Caenorhabditis elegans: one gene and its partners. The protein of the gene in region 1 interacts with the protein of each later gene in a pairwise test. Each region holds a gene or a part of one and is shown in the gene's direction. Other genes may lie near its edges. The genes, in order: nrfl-1, spl-1, nadk-1 and F52H2.5.

Region 1 (4,805 bases):
TCAATACTAAAATGCTATGAAGGCTTTCACAGTTAGTCCATTTTCTCTGGTCAGCTCTGAAAATTGTAGAATATTTTAAAGTATTGGCATTGTCGGAGAAGAAACTGCAATTTTTGTTTCTATTTTACCAATTGTTTAAATATTTTCAGAGGAGGATTAATCACTGGTGACCGAATCTTTGCTGTCAATGGTCACTCGATTATTGGAGAAAATCACAAGAAGGTGGTTGAGCGCATAAAAGCAAATCCAAATCGATGTGAAATGCTTGTGATCTCTGAAGAAGGAGCTAAGTGGTACAATGAAAATAATGTTCAAATCACATTGGACCTTCCAAATATCGAACGAGTTTCTCCAATGGTTAGTCAAAATGTAGATTTTATCTTTACAAAATTAAAAAAAACAATTTTGTGTGACTTTTCTCATTCTCCTAACTTTATTTTAAATTCTAAAATTTTTAACATGTAAGATAAAAAAGTCTTCATTGTCGTGAAGAATGCAATATTCGTTTTTGACAGTAAAATTAGAAACATTTTCCATTTGTCTTATTTCCCTTTGTTGCGCCTAAAATCCCTTATGTTACCAATTGTCAGAGGAACTCCTGTCATCCGTCCAACAATTCTCCCCCGCCAAGTTCGTGGTACGCACCCACGTCATATTCACAGGTCAGTCTTTTTGCCTTTTCACATAATTTTCTCCTTTCTCCACTTTGTTTATTCCTCATTGTTATTTTGTAATTTTCAAACAGTATCGAATATCAAATAGTATAGCTGTAGTTGCTCATTGAGCATCATTTGTTTATTTGACACCTCTAGTTGCACTTGATCAACCGAACTTCGTATATCTACTGAGTCACACTGAACCATTTTTATGCGTCATTTTCATATGTTCTCACACTAAAAAAGGATTGACAAATATTTCGAGGTAGATAGACAGGGAGTCGATAGACAAGAAATGACGTCATTTTAGATGAAAGTTATAGGAACAATGAAAATTAAAAATTGGTAATTGAACCTGGGGAAATTGGAATTAACATTATTAATGGCTATGCAATTTTAGAACTGAAATTTTTAAAAAGTTATACAATATCCGATCTCAAATGAAGAAATGGAAATAAAAATTCTTGCAAAAAAATTGAATAATTTTTTTCTGTTTCATAAATAGTTAAAAGACTTATTCATAAATTTCAAAAATTCGGGAATTGCCTTTTCCGCACAAAAAATGTTTCCTCATTAAGGAAAACCCGTGGTTGGTTTGGAGACTATCTTGAAATTGTAATGCACATATTCTGTCATTCGATGATGCTTTATATAGTTTAGGCGATTGAAATCTGATTAAAACTTTTCTTTAGAACTCCATAAAAATATTTGATTTATTGCAAAAGTTTTGTAAACTTTTCTAAGTTCCTTGTAATATCTAAGTATTGCTAAGACATCATTTCTAGTCATCCACTTGTACTTTCTCTCCTCCAATTTTTGATTTACAATCTGATTCTCCATGCACTCCAAGACGTTCTCAACCATTATTCTTCAAACGGAACAACTTTTCGATGATTCTCGAATCGATGAAGAAACGGACGACACAATAGCGTTGGTTTTGTGTGTGTGTGCCTGTTTTGTATGTTAATATTCAATAAAAATATGAAGAAGATGGAAAAAGACGGGGCAAAGAATTTATGGGCCAAACCATACATATTCTATGCATTGAGGCACGAAGAGGGACAAAAAAGTTATATATCTTGACAAACAAAGGAATACCAAAAAGGCACTTTTGTTTGATTCACATTCCTTGGCTCTTCGGCACATCACTACAGTATTCTCAACTCTTATTCTCAGCTAAGAAATTTCAATTCTAAATCTGCATATTGCCTTCTTCAAACATGGATCGCAATCCATCTGAACCAGAAAGAATAGATTGGAAAAACCCAATCACGTGGATTTCGTATCTCTACACCTCTTTCGTGTACTATTTGTGGTTGATCTCCTCGCATCTACCACATCTCCCACAACCACAACGGATTACCGATGACAAATCAACGGAGCAGATCACCAGAGACGCAGGTATTCCGCGCACTGAGATAGTAACACGAGGAGATGCTACGCAGACAGTTAGACAAGTAGCGGGTCTAGGGGACCCAGCGCCAAAGGATTCATCATTATTGCCTCCCTCTTCGTCGTTCGTCTATTGCAACAACTGTCTAACACCTCATTCGTCTCAGAGGACTTGTTCTCCAGCCTACGTCTCTACTCTCTCAAGACAAAAGTCTTTGACGTTGCTAAAGAAATTGAAGAAACCCTCATCATCTGCTTCTTCCACCACTACCACCACATCATCGACTGTATCTTTCCGTGCACCTTCACGTGCATCATCAACGATCTCCGACGCTTCTACCATCCGCCCATCTGAACTCATTGCTATCGTTCCATCTGGTAGCCACGTGTTGCTGCGAGTTCCGAAACTTGATTGGAAAACTGAATCAATTCGAATCAAAAGAACTAGAATGAGTGATTGGATGGATGCGGAGCAACGGGATGTGATGAGACAATTTGATGAAGTTATAAGATCAGAAGAAGAAGACGAGAGGACCTCACGAAAAAGGAACGGAATCTTCAAAGATGGATCTGTAAGGAGTATTGAATCATTGGAATCTAGGAGTCGGGTGAGCACACGTTGTGATTTTGAAATATCGACTCAAAAATAAAACTTCTTTCTAACAATTATAAATTTAAAAGTTAGAGAATTATCTATTAGTATTGCACCCCCTTACTGTAGGCAGCTCATAACTGATTTTTCATTGATTTTATTATAATTTGACAACTTTCTACTTATAATCTATTTTACTATAATTTTTTAGTTAATAATTTTGTTGATGTCAGCAACTGTCTTTAAAATGAACCGATAGCTCCAAAGAAACGATGGAAAATTATATTTTACGGACCAAAGTTGATCCAAATTTTTTGCTGACAATTGTTCCTGTTTATTCAAAATTTAAAAATTTAAATTACACATTTTTTGGTTTGGGCTATAATTCATCATAAAACCATACTTCTTTAAAACGTGAAATCTCAACTTGTTTTACAGCATTTCAGATAAAATGCACACCGTAGAATTAATTGAAATGGTATTTCAACTGGTTTCTTTTCTTTGTTTTTCATCTTTCCCATACTGGTACGCGTGCCTATCCTTACCCAAATTCTTCAAAAACAATTTGATAAGGATTTCAGTATTTTTTCTTTAAATTGATTAGAGACCAACTTCGCCAAACTATCAATTGGGTACTATGTTTTATAAACTATTCCAACATTTGTTGAGGTATTCGTCATCCTCTTCAACTTTTTTCTTCAATATTTCCATTTTCTCCAAAAAGAATTTCATTTTCATATAAATACGAGTATCATTTCCTCTTCTTCATATTTCTGACTCATCTTTCCTCCATCTTCTCTTGCATACATTTCCAAAAATTTTGCCAACTTGCCAAGTAAACCGCAAACATACGAGAAAACTGTTAAAACTGTGTCTGCACTCTACGCACTCTCTCATTCAGCCTCTTGAAGCTTATGTATGTTTTGTTAAATGTGTGTTGTGGCATTGGCAAGAAAGGAGAGAGAAGGTAGATCATTTTTTATTGAGAAGAAAATGACAATGAAGAAGACAAGTAATAAAAAAATATGTTTAGTGCGAGAGAAACAGAACAAAATGATGATTTATGATCAAAATTGAGACATTAGAAAGTTGGAAGAGGAACTGTAAATTAAATGAGAAAATGGGATACAGAGATATGATAGCAGATAGATTTATGAGGTATTGATACGGAAAATAACATAAATATTGGAAGACTGGCGGACTGGAAATTTGCACAGTTCAATGTTAGGAAGATTGAAATGAGTGTAGAAAAACAACTCAAAGAGGAGTGTAAATTAATCAATAAATAGGTTATTATTTTTGACAATTAACACTTCAATAAATTGTGACATAATTAAAAATATGATGAAACAGAAATAGTTTTGGAAGACTAACGAGTTACCAGCATTCCAGTGTTTAACAGTATATTACAACTCGATGAAACATTCGAAAATTCTAAAATGGAAAATCGATTAAAATTTTTTACTCCTTTAAGAAATCTTGTTCGTAAGCCATATTCTCAGAGAGAACCAAATTCAAAAAAGTTGTCTGACTACAGTAATCCGCAACAATTCCACTTACCTATCATTCGTTACAAATCTTCCTCTTCGTTTCTTTGTCCTTTAATAAATGACCTTCATTTGAATATATCTAATTGGTCCTCCATTAGACACCTTCTTCCAATTGTTTTTTATCCTCCACCTGCCATGTCTTTATTTCAATCTGTCTGTGTCTCGTGCTCTCTCTCTCATTCAATAGAAAGATAGTTAACGAAGCATGACGCATTGGAATATCTTGCTTCACTAAAAGATTGCAACATTCCAATTCTATTAATTTTTACAAAAAACCAACAATCTTCTCCCATTCTTGTCATTTGTCATGTTTAGACACTTTCTCAAGTATTTTACTAATTTTCTTCAAAAAGTACACATTCATCAAACGTTGTATGTTCAATATTCTTTTCCTTCAAACAAACTTTGAATCTCATAAAATGTTTTGTGGTTTCGGAACATGTTAGAAATACAAATAACTTGTCGGAAAACTTTCACAAAACTTGAATTTTATTTCTTGGCATTTCCCAACATTGAAACGCATCTTGTAATCCGATATTTTTGGGACTTGTTTTTTATATTCACTTTTATTCGAAAGAATATCAGAAATAATATACATTAGACTATTTCAAGTGG
Region 2 (5,546 bases), 8.7 Mb from region 1:
TCGATGGAACTCCGGAATATCGGTTTGTATTGAATTTTAGAGAAAAATTATTTTAAAATAGCTATTTTTTGTAGTTTGCCCGAGAGATATGTACAGAATAAGAACAGAATCCTTGCAAAGTTTCTACTTCACGAAAACTGAGTTGAAGTCTATGATGAGGGACTTGCGAAGTATTACTTCTGGAATAAAACAACAGATGAGGTGAGTAGCAGAATAATTTCCAGATTTAAAAAAAAATTTTTTCAGGTTTGTTGGTATTCTCCGCGTCATCCACGAGCTATAATTAGTGATCCAGCTCCTCGAATCGCCAGAGAGCATGCTACAGTGCTTTTCGGAGATTCTCACGCATCTGAGGTAGAATTAGATGCTGAAATCGTACTTAAAGGCACACAGATTTATCAGATTTACTCGGATGGGTCTAACCGCCGGAAAAGTTGTTCCCATCCAAAAGGATCCGAGCGCCTTTAAATACTCATTTCGGAACATTTATTCTTTAAAACTATATATTTTTTTTCCAGGAGAACAATGCCGCTCGCCGCAGAAATTTCCACAACAAGAAAACTTCACGCGGAGGGAATGATGATAAGCAATCACGTGGCAATAATGCTGAAAAGCGGAAGCGACGTGATCCGATGACGTCACAGGGTCCAGATTCAGATGAAGACGAGTTACAGGAAATGACAAATAAGGATCGACTGAAAAGAGCAAAAAGGAAAGGAATTGATCCAATGGATCCAGGAGCTCATGGAGGCGCTCCAGTGTAAGCTGCGCTCCGTTTCTGAAGCGAAAAAGTTGGAATTTTCGAGAATTGGATTCAAAAATTGAAAATTTTCTAATTTCGCCAACTTTTCCGTGTTGCAGCGGTCTAATTTTAGATAAATTTATAGTTTTTCTTCAGAAAATTATAATTTTTCATCTGAATTTTCGGAAATAGCTTCAAAAAAACGCAAACCACGTTTTTTACGCAAAATCGAATAATATTCGAGCAACAAAATCTGATTTTCTACCCTATTTCAGTGAAAAATGGTCGGATGGCCTTCGCGTTGATCACGTAACAGGAGCCGACGTGACTGCTGGTGGACCACTTTTCCAACAAAGACCCTATCCTGCTCCGGGAGCAATTCTCAGAAAACATAAACCACAGGATGAAGAGGATGATCAACAATTCAATTTTTTAAAATCATTTTAATGCAAAATTTCTACTCCACTTCCTTCCAAAAGTTCTGCCATGTCCTATTATTTATTTGTTCTGTTTTGTACCCCTGTACCTGTACCTTTTTCTATGTTTCTATGCACATTCATGTGCACAAACATTTGTAATTTTCTCTGTGTCTCTCCAAGAAATTCCCATAAATTCATCCATGATTTTTCGTTTCTTTTCGATTTTTGTGATAATGACCACGTATCATATTCTTATCAGTATACTTTACCGTTTTGTTTCTGAAAAAAGTTTTTTTTCGTGAAGTTGGTTTCATTTCCAAATTTTGATGTTTGTGTGCCACGACTAATTTCAATTGAAAAGGAGTGTGCGCCTTTAAGTGGCACAGTAGTTTCTCGTGGTTTGGTAATTTTTCTTCACACTTTGTTTTTGAAGGGTATGTATAAATAAGAAAATATTAGTTCGCGATATATCGAAACTACAGCACTCCTTAAAGGCGCACACTTGGTTTCATTTGAAAAATACCACAATAAATTAATTTTCAGGTTACAATGGATTCGGTTAAGCACACAACCGAAATTATTGTCGACTTGACAAAAATGCACTATCACATGATAAATGATAGGTGAATTTTAAACAAAAATTAGATATTTGGAAATTACTAATTCAAGATTTTCAGACTTTCTCGGTATGATCCGGTTGTTCTAGTGTTGGCCGCTTTTGGGGGTACCCTTGTCTATACAAAAGTCGTCCATTTGTACCGAAAAAGCGAGGATCCAATTTTGAAACGGCAAGTGTTTTCTTGCGAATTTTAGAAATATCAAAATGAAATTTTCAGCATGGGAGCTTATGTATTCTCACTTCTTCGAAAACTTCCAGCTGTTCGGGATAAAATCGAAAAAGAGCTGGCTGCTGAGAAGCCAAAGCTTATTGAATCGATTCATAAGGATGATAAGGACAAGCAATTCATTTCCAGTTTGTTTGAACATTTATTAATTAACCAATTCATTAATTCTATTTTTCAGCTCTTCCCATCGCTCCATTATCTCAGGACTCAATTATGGAACTGGCGAAAAAATATGAGGATTACAACACATTTAACATTGACGGAGGACGAGTATCTGGAGCGGTTTATACTGATCGTCATGCTGAACACATTAATTTGCTTGGAAAGGTTTAGAAATTCTAGAATTTTTCAAAATCTTAGCTCTCAAATATATTCTCTTGTAAATAGCTACATAGTATATCCTGTAGGGAAGCTTTGAATCCAATTCAGATCAGGGGCGACAAACGATTTTTTCCGGCAAATCGGCAAATCGCCGGAATGGAAATTTCCTGCAAATCGGCAAATTGCCGGAATGGAAATTTCCTGCAAGTTGGCAAATTGACGGAATTGAAATTTCCGGCAAACCGACAAATTTCCGTAATTAAAATTTCCTGCAAACCGGCGAATTGGCGGAATTGAAATTTCCTGCAAACCGGCAAATTGCCGTAATTGAAATTTCCTGCAAACCGGCAAATTGCCGGAATTGAAATTTCCGGCAAACCGGCAAATCGGCTGAATTGAAATTTCCTGCAAACCGGCAAATTGCGGTAATTGAAATTTCCTGCAAACCGGTCAGTTGCCGATTTGCCTTTGCCTGAAAAACGGCGATTGCCAGAAATATTCGGCAAATTGTGGTTTTGCACATTTTTCTGGAAATTTCAGGCAAAATTGTACGCATCCTATGAATATCCCTATTAACATCTTTTTTGAAAAGTCAGTAAATTATATGAAAATATCTAAAGAAAACGGGGAAAATATTTCAAAGAGGCACAGTTTTATGTGTTTCCGTCATCTAAATAGTCCCTCTAAACATTTCCGGCAAATCTGATATCCGGCAAACGGCAAATCGGGATATTGCCGGAATTTAAAATTTGCCGAACTTGTCGACAAAAAAAATGCGCCTTGAATCCGATTCAGATATTCAAAAATTGAATTTTGGACGTTTTAGAAATCATTTAGTTTGTCAATTTTCAAGAAATTTCTAGAAAATTGGATGGTTTCCGCCAAGAAATATTAGCTACATGAAAATAATTTTGAAACTAGACATTTCTTAAAATAAAAATTGCCATCTTTTATATCCAGATTTACGAAAAGTATGCGTTCTCGAATCCCCTCCACCCTGACGTCTTTCCGGGAGCTCGTAAAATGGAGGCAGAACTTATTCGAATGGTTCTGAACCTGTATAATGGACCAGAAGATTCTAGTGGAAGTGTAACTTCTGGTGGTACTGAAAGTATTATTATGGCATGCTTTTCGTATCGGTAAGCATTTATTCAACTCTTAAAATTCAATTTTGCAAACTCTACAGAAATCGTGCACACTCTCTTGGCATTGAACATCCAGTTATTTTGGCATGTAAAACAGCTCACGCGGCATTTGATAAGGCCGCCCATCTATGCGGAATGCGTCTTCGCCACGTTCCAGTTGATTCGGATAATCGTGTCGATTTAAAAGAAATGGAGAGACTAATTGATTCGAATGTTTGTATGTTGGTTGGCTCAGCGCCTAACTTCCCATCAGGCACAATTGATCCAATTCCGGAAATTGCTAAGGTACTGGAAATTCCCGCCTCAATATCGCGGAAAAAATAGAGAAATGACTGAACAAAATTACATTGTGAGCGGGAACTCTAATTGAATTCAGCAAAAATACGATACTTTTTTCTAACTTAAAATAATTTTTAAAAAAACTCACAGATGCTAGTCCAAAAAATGGCCTTTTTTGATTACTTAATCGAACGTTTACACTTTCAGCTCGGCAAAAAGTATGGAATCCCGGTCCACGTGGACGCATGTCTTGGTGGATTCATGATTCCATTTATGAATGACGCCGGATACCTGATTCCTGTATTCGATTTCAGAAATCCCGGTGTTACATCTATTTCGTGTGATACTCATAAGGTTGGATACAGTTCTATCCATTTTTTTCCTTCAATTCAAAATCTTTCAGTACGGATGCACACCGAAAGGTTCATCGATTGTCATGTATCGTTCCAAGGAACTTCATCACTTCCAGTATTTCTCGGTTGCCGATTGGTGTGGAGGCATCTATGCCACCCCGACTATTGCAGGTTTGAAGAATGTTTTAGTAGCTTCAATAGAATCAAAGAGATCCCTTAGGATCCCGAGCTGGAGCCAACACTGCCGTCGCCTGGGCCACACTTTTATCCTTCGGTCGAGACGAATATGTTCGAAGATGTGCTCAAATTGTGAAGCATACACGAATGCTGGCCGAGAAAATTGAGAAAATCAAATGGATCAAGCCTTATGGAAAATCGGATGTTTCATTGGTGGCGTTCTCCGGAAATGGTGTGAATATCTACGAAGTTTCTGACAAAATGATGAAGCTCGGATGGAATTTGAACACTCTGCAGAATCCAGCGGCGTATGTTTATCAATTTTATGAGTTATCAGCTTGCTAAATTTTTTGTTTCAGAATCCACATTTGTTTGACAATCAATCAAGCGAACGAGGAAGTTGTGAATGCGTTCGCCGTCGACCTTGAGAAGATTTGTGAAGAACTCGCTGCAAAAGGTGAACAAAAAGCTGACAGTGGAATGGCTGCGATGTATGGAATGGCTGCGCAAGTACCAAAATCAGTAGTGGACGAGGTTATCGCTCTGTACATTGACGCAACTTATTCAGCTCCACCTTCAACTTCTAATTAATTACTTTTTCCATTGAATTTTCTCTATTTGCACCAATATATCTGTGATTTTTTTTGTAGTAAATAAATATATACTATTCTGTGATTTTTTTCTGTAGTAAATAAATATATATACCAATTATAACGAATTAATTGTCAAGATCTAGCTGAAAAACGGATAAAAACCGAATGTTTTCTCAAATTAAAATTAAAACTCTAATTAAAGGCGCGTCACTTTACTTGAAAGGGTCTCGCCACGATACGCCAATTGGTGGCGGCAGTTTGAATATTCTTGTTTATTTACATCTTTTTGAGTTCTCATTTTTTGGGATTTCTTTGTTTTTGAACAGAATTTTTCGTTTTTTCGATTGAAATTGCATTTTTCTGTGTAAAAAAAAATGTTTTCATTTAATTGAGTCAAAAAATACAGAAATTCAGTTGTAAGTCTGCTATTCGGAGGTTGTGGGGTAATTTCTCCCCTGATTTGAGTAATTAGTTGAAGAAGCTTGGAATTTCGTGATTTTCAGACGGAAAATCATAGAGGTTCACCATTTTTGAACAGGAATGATCAAAATTTCCGTACAAAATTGGCAGAAATATCGAAACCTTTGACAATTTTATTCTATTTTTATGAGTTTCGTTGTTTCTCTGTATTTAAAAGGAATTTATATTGAAAATGAACTTATCAATAGCACA
Region 3 (4,677 bases), 7.7 Mb from region 1:
AATAAAAAACTCCGAATTTCCCCCATTCTCACCCATTTCTCTAGTCGGACACAAAATTTTGTGGTCTCCCGTGCTCTATAGTTTTTGGTCATTGGTCACATCGTATGTTTCGAAATCATCGCCGCTGTTTTTGTTTTGAAAATTGATTTTCAACGAATTCTCTTTGGTTCTCCCAGCATAGAAAACGGTCATTTTTCTTTTTTTTTAATTGCCGAAGAAAAAAATATAATGGAATCAGTGGAGGCGCAGACTGTTAGAAAGCATTTGCACTGTTTATTGAACGGTTTGGCGCCCGTTACTCAGTGGAAGTGAGTGGTATCAAAAAATGCGTTCGGTTGCATTTATAGTTTTATGAGATGAATATTTTGTAATTTAACAATTTTGTGATAAATTTACTTTTCGACGAGGTATAGAGGTTTTAGCACAAGCTGAATCCCGCAGCCTTTTAAAATCAAATTCTCATAACGTATTTTTACTTTTAACTCCTTTTAACTCCTTCGAAGTAAAAGTTATTCAACAGTTGTTAACTTGAGCATGTAGTGTTTTTTTAAGGCGGCTATAACTCAGCGGAGGTTAATGCTATGAAAAAGATGAAAATTACAAAAATGTTCAGTTTTATGTGGTAAATAATCTTTTAATGAACAATTTTGCGACAAATCAACTATTCGACAAGATACGGAGGGTGCTAGCTTCAGCCATTGGCACCCTACTTCTCACCACTAAACCTTTATGCTCCTGTAACTCAGCGGAGGGTAGTTTTATGAAAAAGTTCACAATTACAAAAATGTTCAGTTTTATGTGGTAAATAATTTGTTAGTTAACAATTTTAGGATAAATTTATTCTCCGAGGAGATACAAGGGCAGAAATTTCAGTAGCTCTCTTCATCGGCTCCCTTGCCGCTTCACCACCAAACTTTAGGCGCCTGTAACTAAACGGAGGTTACTGTTATGAAAAAGTTGCAAATTACAAAAATGTACAGTTTTATGTGATAAATAAATTGCTAGTTTAACAGTTTTTTGATAAATCCACTTTCCAACAAATTACAACGATTTCTAGTCTTCGACACTACTGCTCACCCTTCACCACTGAACCTCCAGGCGTCTGTAACTCCGCGGAGGTGAACTCCATTAAAAAGTTGCCAACTACGAAAATACGCAACTTTTAAAGTTCTATATTTTATTAGTTGGCATATTTTTGATAACTCCTCTACTCGTAGAGATATCACAGCTTAAACTTATACTCCTTATACTCCAGCCGATCAAAACACCATTTTTTCCAAAAAATTCCATCATGGCGTCAAGTATCATTTCAACACCATTTATTTACTTTGTGTCAATTCTCAATTCTCAACTTTCAATTTCTCCTCAAAAATCAAACATTGCGAGCACATCTGAGCACGAGGGGAACAAACCACCACCTCCCACACAATTTCTATTGTTGTAGCCTACCGGAACGGTGGGCGGCGCCCAGACGTTCGGAAGGCGGAGCCCCGTTTATTTATAAATCGGGAAAAATTTTTGAAATTTTGAAATTTTGGAAATTTGAAAATAATGGTGCCATTTGTGTTGATTTTTTGGCGAATTCTCGAATGACTTTTCGTGTGTGATGAGGCGGCTGAAAAAAAAACTAACTGATAAGCTTTTCTATCATATTTTAACCTTTTCTCTCTCTCTTTTTTGATTCCATTAAATATCCATTTCCAATTTCTAATAATTTATAATTCCAGCCGTCCATCATGGCCGCTTTGGCAATTTCTCACTGCGTGAGCCACGTGGCGCGCCCAGTTTCTCCGGTAACACAAGGAAAACCGAGCGGAAGCAGACAGCAGCCGGTGAGCCAAATTTCGATTTTAAGCCTTGTTTTGGAGCAAATTTTTAGGCGATCCGGTTTGCGTTGATCCTTCGAAAGAGCACACGATGGCAATGGGAGAAGGAGCAGACGGGCTTGAGCGATGCTGATCTGAAAAAGTGAGTTTTACAACCAAAGCTGCTCGTCGATGCATCACGTTTTGCATCTCCACTTTGAAAGCTCATATCTTTGTTCATTTTTAAGATACTATAGGCACATAGCTAAAAATAATTTTATTAGTTGACAGTTTTCTTTTAAAACCAAATACAACGAGATAAAAACTGTGGAAGCTGGTTCTAGTCATTGCACCATGTCTCACGCCATTTCTAAAGCTTGTAACTTTGTTCATCTTTTAGATACTAAAAAATTGAAACTGCAATAATGTATGTCCATGTCTTCCTCCACATTCAGAGTCCATATCTTTGTTCATTTTATAGGTAGTAAAAAGTAAAAAATTTTTAACTACAAAACTGTAGAAAATCAAATATTTAAATATTTTGTCAGAAAGCAACTTTTCGATAAACCCAAAGCCAAATGAGATATAAGCTATCAAAGCTGGTTCCGGTCGATGCACCATGTCTCAAGCCACTTCTAAAGCTTGTAGCTTTGTTCATCTTTTAGGTACTCAAACAATTGTTATTACAAAATAGTAGAAAAACATATATTTCATATTTCGCCTGTGAGCAACTTTTTGATAACGCTAAAACAGACAGAGATATGAGCTACCAAAGAAGATAATTTTCGGTCGATGCACCATGTCTTAAAGTTCATATTCAATAGGTTGTTTCCTGAATTTAATTTTAATAACATTAACACTATATAAAATATGTATAAGGTGTCCGGTCGATGCACCATGTTTTGCTTCACCTATATCCTATCATACAGAAATTTGGAAAATTATATTTAGGCTAAAAACCGAAACTGTGTATTTTTCCCATGGTGTCTGCAATTGACAAAAGTCTACTGACCTCATTTGAATGTAAAAATGTCTATCAGGCTATATTCCCAGCTACTAAATCTTTTCAGGCACCTCTCCTCAAAAGGCACCAAGGTTCAAGAGCTCCTCGAAAACGAGAAGAAACAAGTAAACGCAGTGCAGGAAATTGTCTCCGAACTTGGCAAAGCAGGCATCTCCACAAAAGTTGTGACTCGCGAGCAGCTAGCCCAGTACCTGCCTGAAGCTGATCTGGTGATCTCTGCCGGTGGTGATGGAACCTTCTTGGCTGCAGCTTCCGTGGTCAACGACAACACCCCAATCATCGGTATCAACACTGACCCGATCGGAAGTGAAGGACACCTGTGTGTCGGTGGCAAGAATCCACCTCGCGATTTGATCGAGCGTCTGGTCTCTGGAAACTTGAAGTGGGTGCAGAGGACGAGGATACGGGTAACAGTAAAGGAATCCCGGAACTCGATTTTCTCATTGAAGAGGTCTGAAAAATCAACAAACCTCGCCCTGAACGAGGTGTTCATCGGAGAGGATGAAGCCGCCAAAGTCTCAACCTACAATATTTCCATCGACGATTCGCAGACAGTCAAGCAAAAGTCCTCCGGGTTGATTGTGTCGACTGGGACCGGATCGACGAGTTGGTACCTCGGAATGAACAGGATCGATGAGAATGCGACGACGTCAGTGTTGGAGGCACTGCAATCACTTGGCGTGGATGTGCCGATCACAAGGAATTTGGTGGAGAAGGTGGTGAATTCGGTGAATGAGAAGATCCCGTTCGAGCCAGATCATCCTAGTGAGTTTTTTGAAAGTTGATTGGAATTTGGGTTTGTTGAGTTGGAAACAAAATGTCAGGGGTATTTTTGATTACACAATTCCAAATATAAGACCCTGCACAGACATGGAAAAGGACTGAGAAAAGGACCCCATGGCTGGCCTCATCGTCAGGCTTCAGAAAACTCAAATTTGAGAATTTCTCATTATCTCACTTTCACTTTTAACTTTCCAGGTTTCGCCTTCTCAATCCGTGAGCCGATCTTCAACGCCACCTACAAACGCACGGCGACCCGCGGATTCGCCAGAAAGATCAAACTCGAATCCCGATGCACCAACGGATACCTGGTCCTTGACGGATCCACAAAGATCCCGTTCCCACGTGGCGCCGTCGCCACGATCGAGGTCAATCCGAATGATGCTTTGAAAACTGTGATTGTGTAACAATGATTTTGTGTGTATTGTTTTTATTGTACGGGTTTTCGGGTTGTCGTTTTTTTTGTGAATTATGAATTCGTAATTGTACATAGATTTTATACGATTTTATGTGATACATCAATTTGAAATTTGAAATTAAAAAAAAATAAATTCATTACTTTTTCATAACTGTATAAAATGGTCTCAAAAATGTGCTTCAAATGCACATTTTCTCAAAATTTCAGAGATCCATCGTTGCGAGATCCTTTGTCGTGGTGAGACCCCCCGTGGTGAGATCCCCGCAGTGCGATCTATCGTGGCGAGACCTATCGTAGCGGGACCCATCGAGGCCAGACCCTCCGTGGTGAGACCCATTGCAGTGAGACCCTTCGTGGTAAGACCCATTGTGGCGAGACTCCCTGTGCTGAGACCTCGTTCAGTGCTGATAATCTGATATGAAAAATCTGAAACCATACAAGCTGAAGTCATTTCGCAACCCCAGAAACTAAAAAAACCACAAAAACCATTTGAAATGCGACATTCTTTATTAAAAAGCTCTCTAATGAGTCTTGTAGATCTGCTCTGCCTGCGATGGCGCTGCCTCGACAGCCACCGATCTCGTTGGGCATGGACAGTAGGCAGCGTCTCCACCTGGCGCGGCATCCTCTCCCGGTGCTCCATCGGATCC
Region 4 (3,686 bases), on another chromosome or scaffold:
AAGTTTGAAAAGTATTCATTTAAAAAAATGTTTTTTGTTTATCGTCAAAAAAAGTTGTTTAGTTTTTTAAACGAATGTTTTCAAAGTGGCTAGGTTAATTTGAGAAACTTTTTGAAACTATCGTCAAATGAAAGATTATAGTGATTGACATAAATTTCCGCAATTTCAAAAAAAAATCTATATGCAATAAGACGCATTCTCACCCCAAATATTTTCAAACTTTCACAATAAATTTCAGATTTTCTGATGGCCCAGACACTCACGATGAAGTCGTCAACCCAATTGGAAGGTGGTACAAAAAATGGTTCTACACTCACGTTGAAGATTTGATCAATAAAAAGCACGAATCCATTGAGTACATTCCACTCCGTGACTACTACCATCGTCACTCAAAGAGCATTTTCTGGGAGCTCAGAGACATCGTCCCATTCGGAAACAATGTCCTGTTTCGTTACTTGATGGCTTGGATGTGCCCCCCAAAGATTGCATTTTTAAAGGCAACAACTCCAAACGTTTTAAGAAAGCTGTACGATCGTAGTCATGTTTTGCAAGATATGCTTGTACCACTGGATAAGTTGGAAGAGTGCATCGATCTTTTTCACAAAGAAGTCGAAGTACGTTTTTCAGATTTTCCATATTTTCTAGCATTGTTTCCAGATCTATCCAATGTGGTTGTGCCCATTCTACTTGAAATCCCAACCAGGTCTCATGAAATTGAGAAATGCTACTCACAAGATGTACGTGGATGTTGGAGCGTATGGAGTAACATCCAAGGATGGTTATCATCACGAGAGAACAACACGGCGACTGGAATCGTTTGTTCGATCAGTCAATGGGTAAAATTTGCCTATAAATTATCACTTTAATAATTTATCGTTCAGATTCCAAATGACATATGCCGACATTTACATGACACGAGCTGAGTACGCTGAAATGTTTGACAGAACACTCTATGATTGGAAAAGAGCATCTTGCAAATGTATCGATGCGTTCCCAGATATTTACGATAAAATTTGCAGAAGTGGAAGGCGTTAAAATTTTTTATTTAAAGGTGGACTATGCGAGAAATGATTAAAAATTAATCCTATGATGTTAAAATGACCAAATATCATTTTTAAAAAAGTTTAAAAGGTTTCACGTTTTGATAAGACATGAAAAATTTTCCAAAACTTTTATTCTGCTATTTGGTGATTTTTGCACAATATCAATGAGGCTTAATCACTTCTACATTGTTCGCAGTTCACTTTTTTGAATTGATAGTCATTGCTCGATTGTTTTTCTCATCTCAATTACTTCATTGTACTGCTTAAATTTTATCATTTTACAGGCTCAATTTTCAGAAACGGCGTACAATTTTTGTTGGTCTTCATTTTCATAAGTTTACAAATCAATTAATTTAACTAAATACATTACCATGCAGAATAAATTTAAAAACAAATTTTTTTAAAAGTTTTTTTTTGAACTGTTATTTCACTTTTTTTCCCCATTTTGTTTTATAACTGCGTGTCTGCACACAATCGGGACCTCCACCCTCTCTGCCGACGCGCAAGTGTTACTGACCCACATTTAGTTTTCTTGGCGCGTTTCTTGTTTTGAATGTTGAACAGTGTTCGAGTACCTCTGTTTTTTCGTTTCAACCTCATTTGTGAGTTACTTTTTATTTCAATTTAGTTAAATAATTAATATCTACTTTGTTTTCGCAGAGTTGTCAATTCAGAAAATTTCAGACACTTCTACGGGTTGAAAAAATGTCGGACGGGTTAATTGACAAACCAAAACTTTTTGTTCAAGGAATGTTCGTGACAAGTACCTCTGGAGAAACTGCTGATGAGACAACAATGTCGAAAATTGACAATATCAGTGAGTTATTTTACAAATGTATTTTTTTCTGTTAAGACTAATTTTTACAGTTACGTATGGTCTCCAGGCAATCGAACATTTCCTAGAAAAAAACGATGGGCAGACTGAGCACTCAAAGTTAGAATACAAACGTGTTGTAGCTGACAAAGAAGTTGAGTACGTTATTATTAGAATTTGGATGAAACTGTTAAGAATTCATTTTTCAGGTGCAATCCAGATGGTGTGAAAATTGTGATTTTCGTGGAAGACATCGAGGTTCCCGCCAAACTGACTGCATTCGCCAATGGTAATCGAGCTGAGATCCACATTCCGAAGAGCAAAATTGACGAACTTTCCGAAGAGACAAATATCGATAAGCTACCAGCTAACGAAAAAGCAGCGTTTGAAATGCTTCTTAATCATTTTCTTCATGAGATGATGCATATGGTGAGTTTTTTCAAATCTTACTATTCTGATCATTTGGTTTAAATGAAAACTTTCCCAGTTTGGAGCTTTCCATTCTGATGTTGGAATCATGTCCGGAGTCATCCAGTTGTTCAATGAAGAAAATCGTATTGACTTGGCCATTTTGTTAGATGATCACTCTGCTCGAATTGTTTCTGAAACCCTTATTGGTCAAGTGCTCCCAGATCCACCAGTTGCAACATTTGTGTATGATGAGAAAGACAGATCGCTGAAATTCGAAAGCAGTGCAGGATTCCACACAGTCATGTTTCTGAACAAGTGAGTTTTTAGTGAAACTTTTCGAAAAATATTGGATTTTTTCAAAAAGTGGCAATTATTGAGTTTTTGCCACTTTTTGAAAAAACTAGAGCACTATCGTATGTTCGATTCCCTGATAATTTTTGAAACACACGTAAGTAGATAATAAAAACGGTATTTTTTTCAAATCGACGGCTTTAAAAAAGTGGAAAACGGAGTTTTTTCCGAATTTCAAAAACTCATATAAAATTTATCACTTTTTTTGAATTTTTAAGTATGAGATTTAGGTCATTATAGGCATTTTTAAAGGCAATTTTCGCTACTCCACCTTCAAAATATTTTTGCTCATTTTCAATAAATTTAAATTTCAGCTCCTACTACACAAATCGATTCTACTATTCCGTTGATATGAATTTTGAATGCATTGTTCCAAAAGATTCGGATTGGGATTCGCTTCTTGTTCAATTTGTCTATGGAGCATCGTTATTCTACAAAAAATCGTCCATTTACAACAATTGTGACTATGACCGCATTCGTCGCCGCTGAGCCAAAAACTACGTTTTAATTTATTTTTCACATGTAAAAACATAATTTTAGACACATAAACCATTTTAACAATTTCCAACTAATTAACCAGGGGTCTGAAAAAAAGAGGCGTTGAGCACCCGCATCTGGAGCAAGTAAAACGTTCCAGAACAATCTAACTTAGATTTTAAACTAAAAATTAGGTTCTAAACATATTCTACTGTTTGTGAAAACCTGTAACTCCGTGGAAAAAAATCTAACAATAAGTAAAAACCTTGTAAATTGCAATTCAACAACTTTCAGGAAAACCGATTATTAGCCAGAATATGTAGAAGTGTTTGAAGTGAGAATATATTTATTATGCCAAAATAATTATGGTTTTTCGCATTTCTACTTGTACGAATTGTCATTGTATTCTTTTATATCGGCGGCAAAATACTGTAAAATTGGGGGGAGGGGGGGGGGGGAAATAATATAGTTGAGATCAGTTTTTCTCGAACTTTAGTAAATAAAAGAAAACAACGAAAACTAAATTGGTGGTAACTGGGGATTGTGAGCGCCGAGAACTGAGAGCTACAAGTTTTTATGACACTATTCCT

What was found.
Region 2: the proteins of nrfl-1 (region 1) and spl-1 interact in a two-hybrid assay, tested with the Caenorhabditis elegans proteins (one large-scale study listed by BioGRID).
Region 3: the proteins of nrfl-1 (region 1) and nadk-1 interact in a two-hybrid assay, tested with the Caenorhabditis elegans proteins (one large-scale study listed by BioGRID).
Region 4: the proteins of nrfl-1 (region 1) and F52H2.5 interact in a two-hybrid assay, tested with the Caenorhabditis elegans proteins (one large-scale study listed by BioGRID).

The regions. Positions count from the first base shown.
Region 1 is NC_003282.8:9,119,605-9,124,409, forward strand, and holds the start of nrfl-1 (Na(+)/H(+) exchange regulatory cofactor-like protein nrfl-1), read left to right. Parts: upstream 1-1,767; 5' UTR 1,768-1,876; coding exon 1,877-2,656; intron 2,657-3,673; exon of another isoform or gene 3,674-4,074; intron 4,075-4,200; exon of another isoform or gene 4,201-4,272; intron 4,273-4,805. UniProt on the Caenorhabditis elegans protein: Scaffold protein that connects plasma membrane proteins with members of the ezrin/moesin/radixin family and thereby helps to link them to the actin cytoskeleton and to regulate their surface expression.
Region 2 is NC_003282.8:379,344-384,889, reverse strand, and holds spl-1 (Sphingosine-1-phosphate lyase), read left to right. Parts: upstream 1-1,704; 5' UTR 1,705-1,710; coding exon 1,711-1,784; intron 1,785-1,838; coding exon 1,839-1,949; intron 1,950-1,997; coding exon 1,998-2,134; intron 2,135-2,184; coding exon 2,185-2,333; intron 2,334-3,287; coding exon 3,288-3,466; intron 3,467-3,513; coding exon 3,514-3,757; intron 3,758-3,958; coding exon 3,959-4,105; intron 4,106-4,154; coding exon 4,155-4,275; intron 4,276-4,324; coding exon 4,325-4,589; intron 4,590-4,640; coding exon 4,641-4,872; 3' UTR 4,873-5,005; downstream 5,006-5,546.
Region 3 is NC_003282.8:1,455,348-1,460,024, forward strand, and holds nadk-1 (NAD(+) kinase), read left to right. Parts: upstream 1-1,727; 5' UTR 1,728-1,736; coding exon 1,737-1,832; intron 1,833-1,879; coding exon 1,880-1,968; intron 1,969-2,875; coding exon 2,876-3,594; intron 3,595-3,807; coding exon 3,808-4,016; 3' UTR 4,017-4,174; downstream 4,175-4,677. Other genes in the region: col-106 (Nematode cuticle collagen N-terminal domain-containing protein), read right to left, coding at 4,549-4,677.
Region 4 is NC_003284.9:2,557,468-2,561,153, reverse strand, and holds F52H2.5 (Peptidase_M10 domain-containing protein), read left to right. Parts: upstream 1-1,608; 5' UTR 1,609-1,645; intron 1,646-1,727; 5' UTR 1,728-1,748; coding exon 1,749-1,860; intron 1,861-1,910; coding exon 1,911-2,016; intron 2,017-2,066; coding exon 2,067-2,286; intron 2,287-2,344; coding exon 2,345-2,583; intron 2,584-2,933; coding exon 2,934-3,108; 3' UTR 3,109-3,178; downstream 3,179-3,686. Other genes in the region: Delta(24)-sterol reductase homolog dhcr-24, read left to right, coding at 239-614, 658-836, 882-1,035; aat-3 (Large neutral amino acids transporter small subunit 1), read right to left, coding at 3,679-3,686.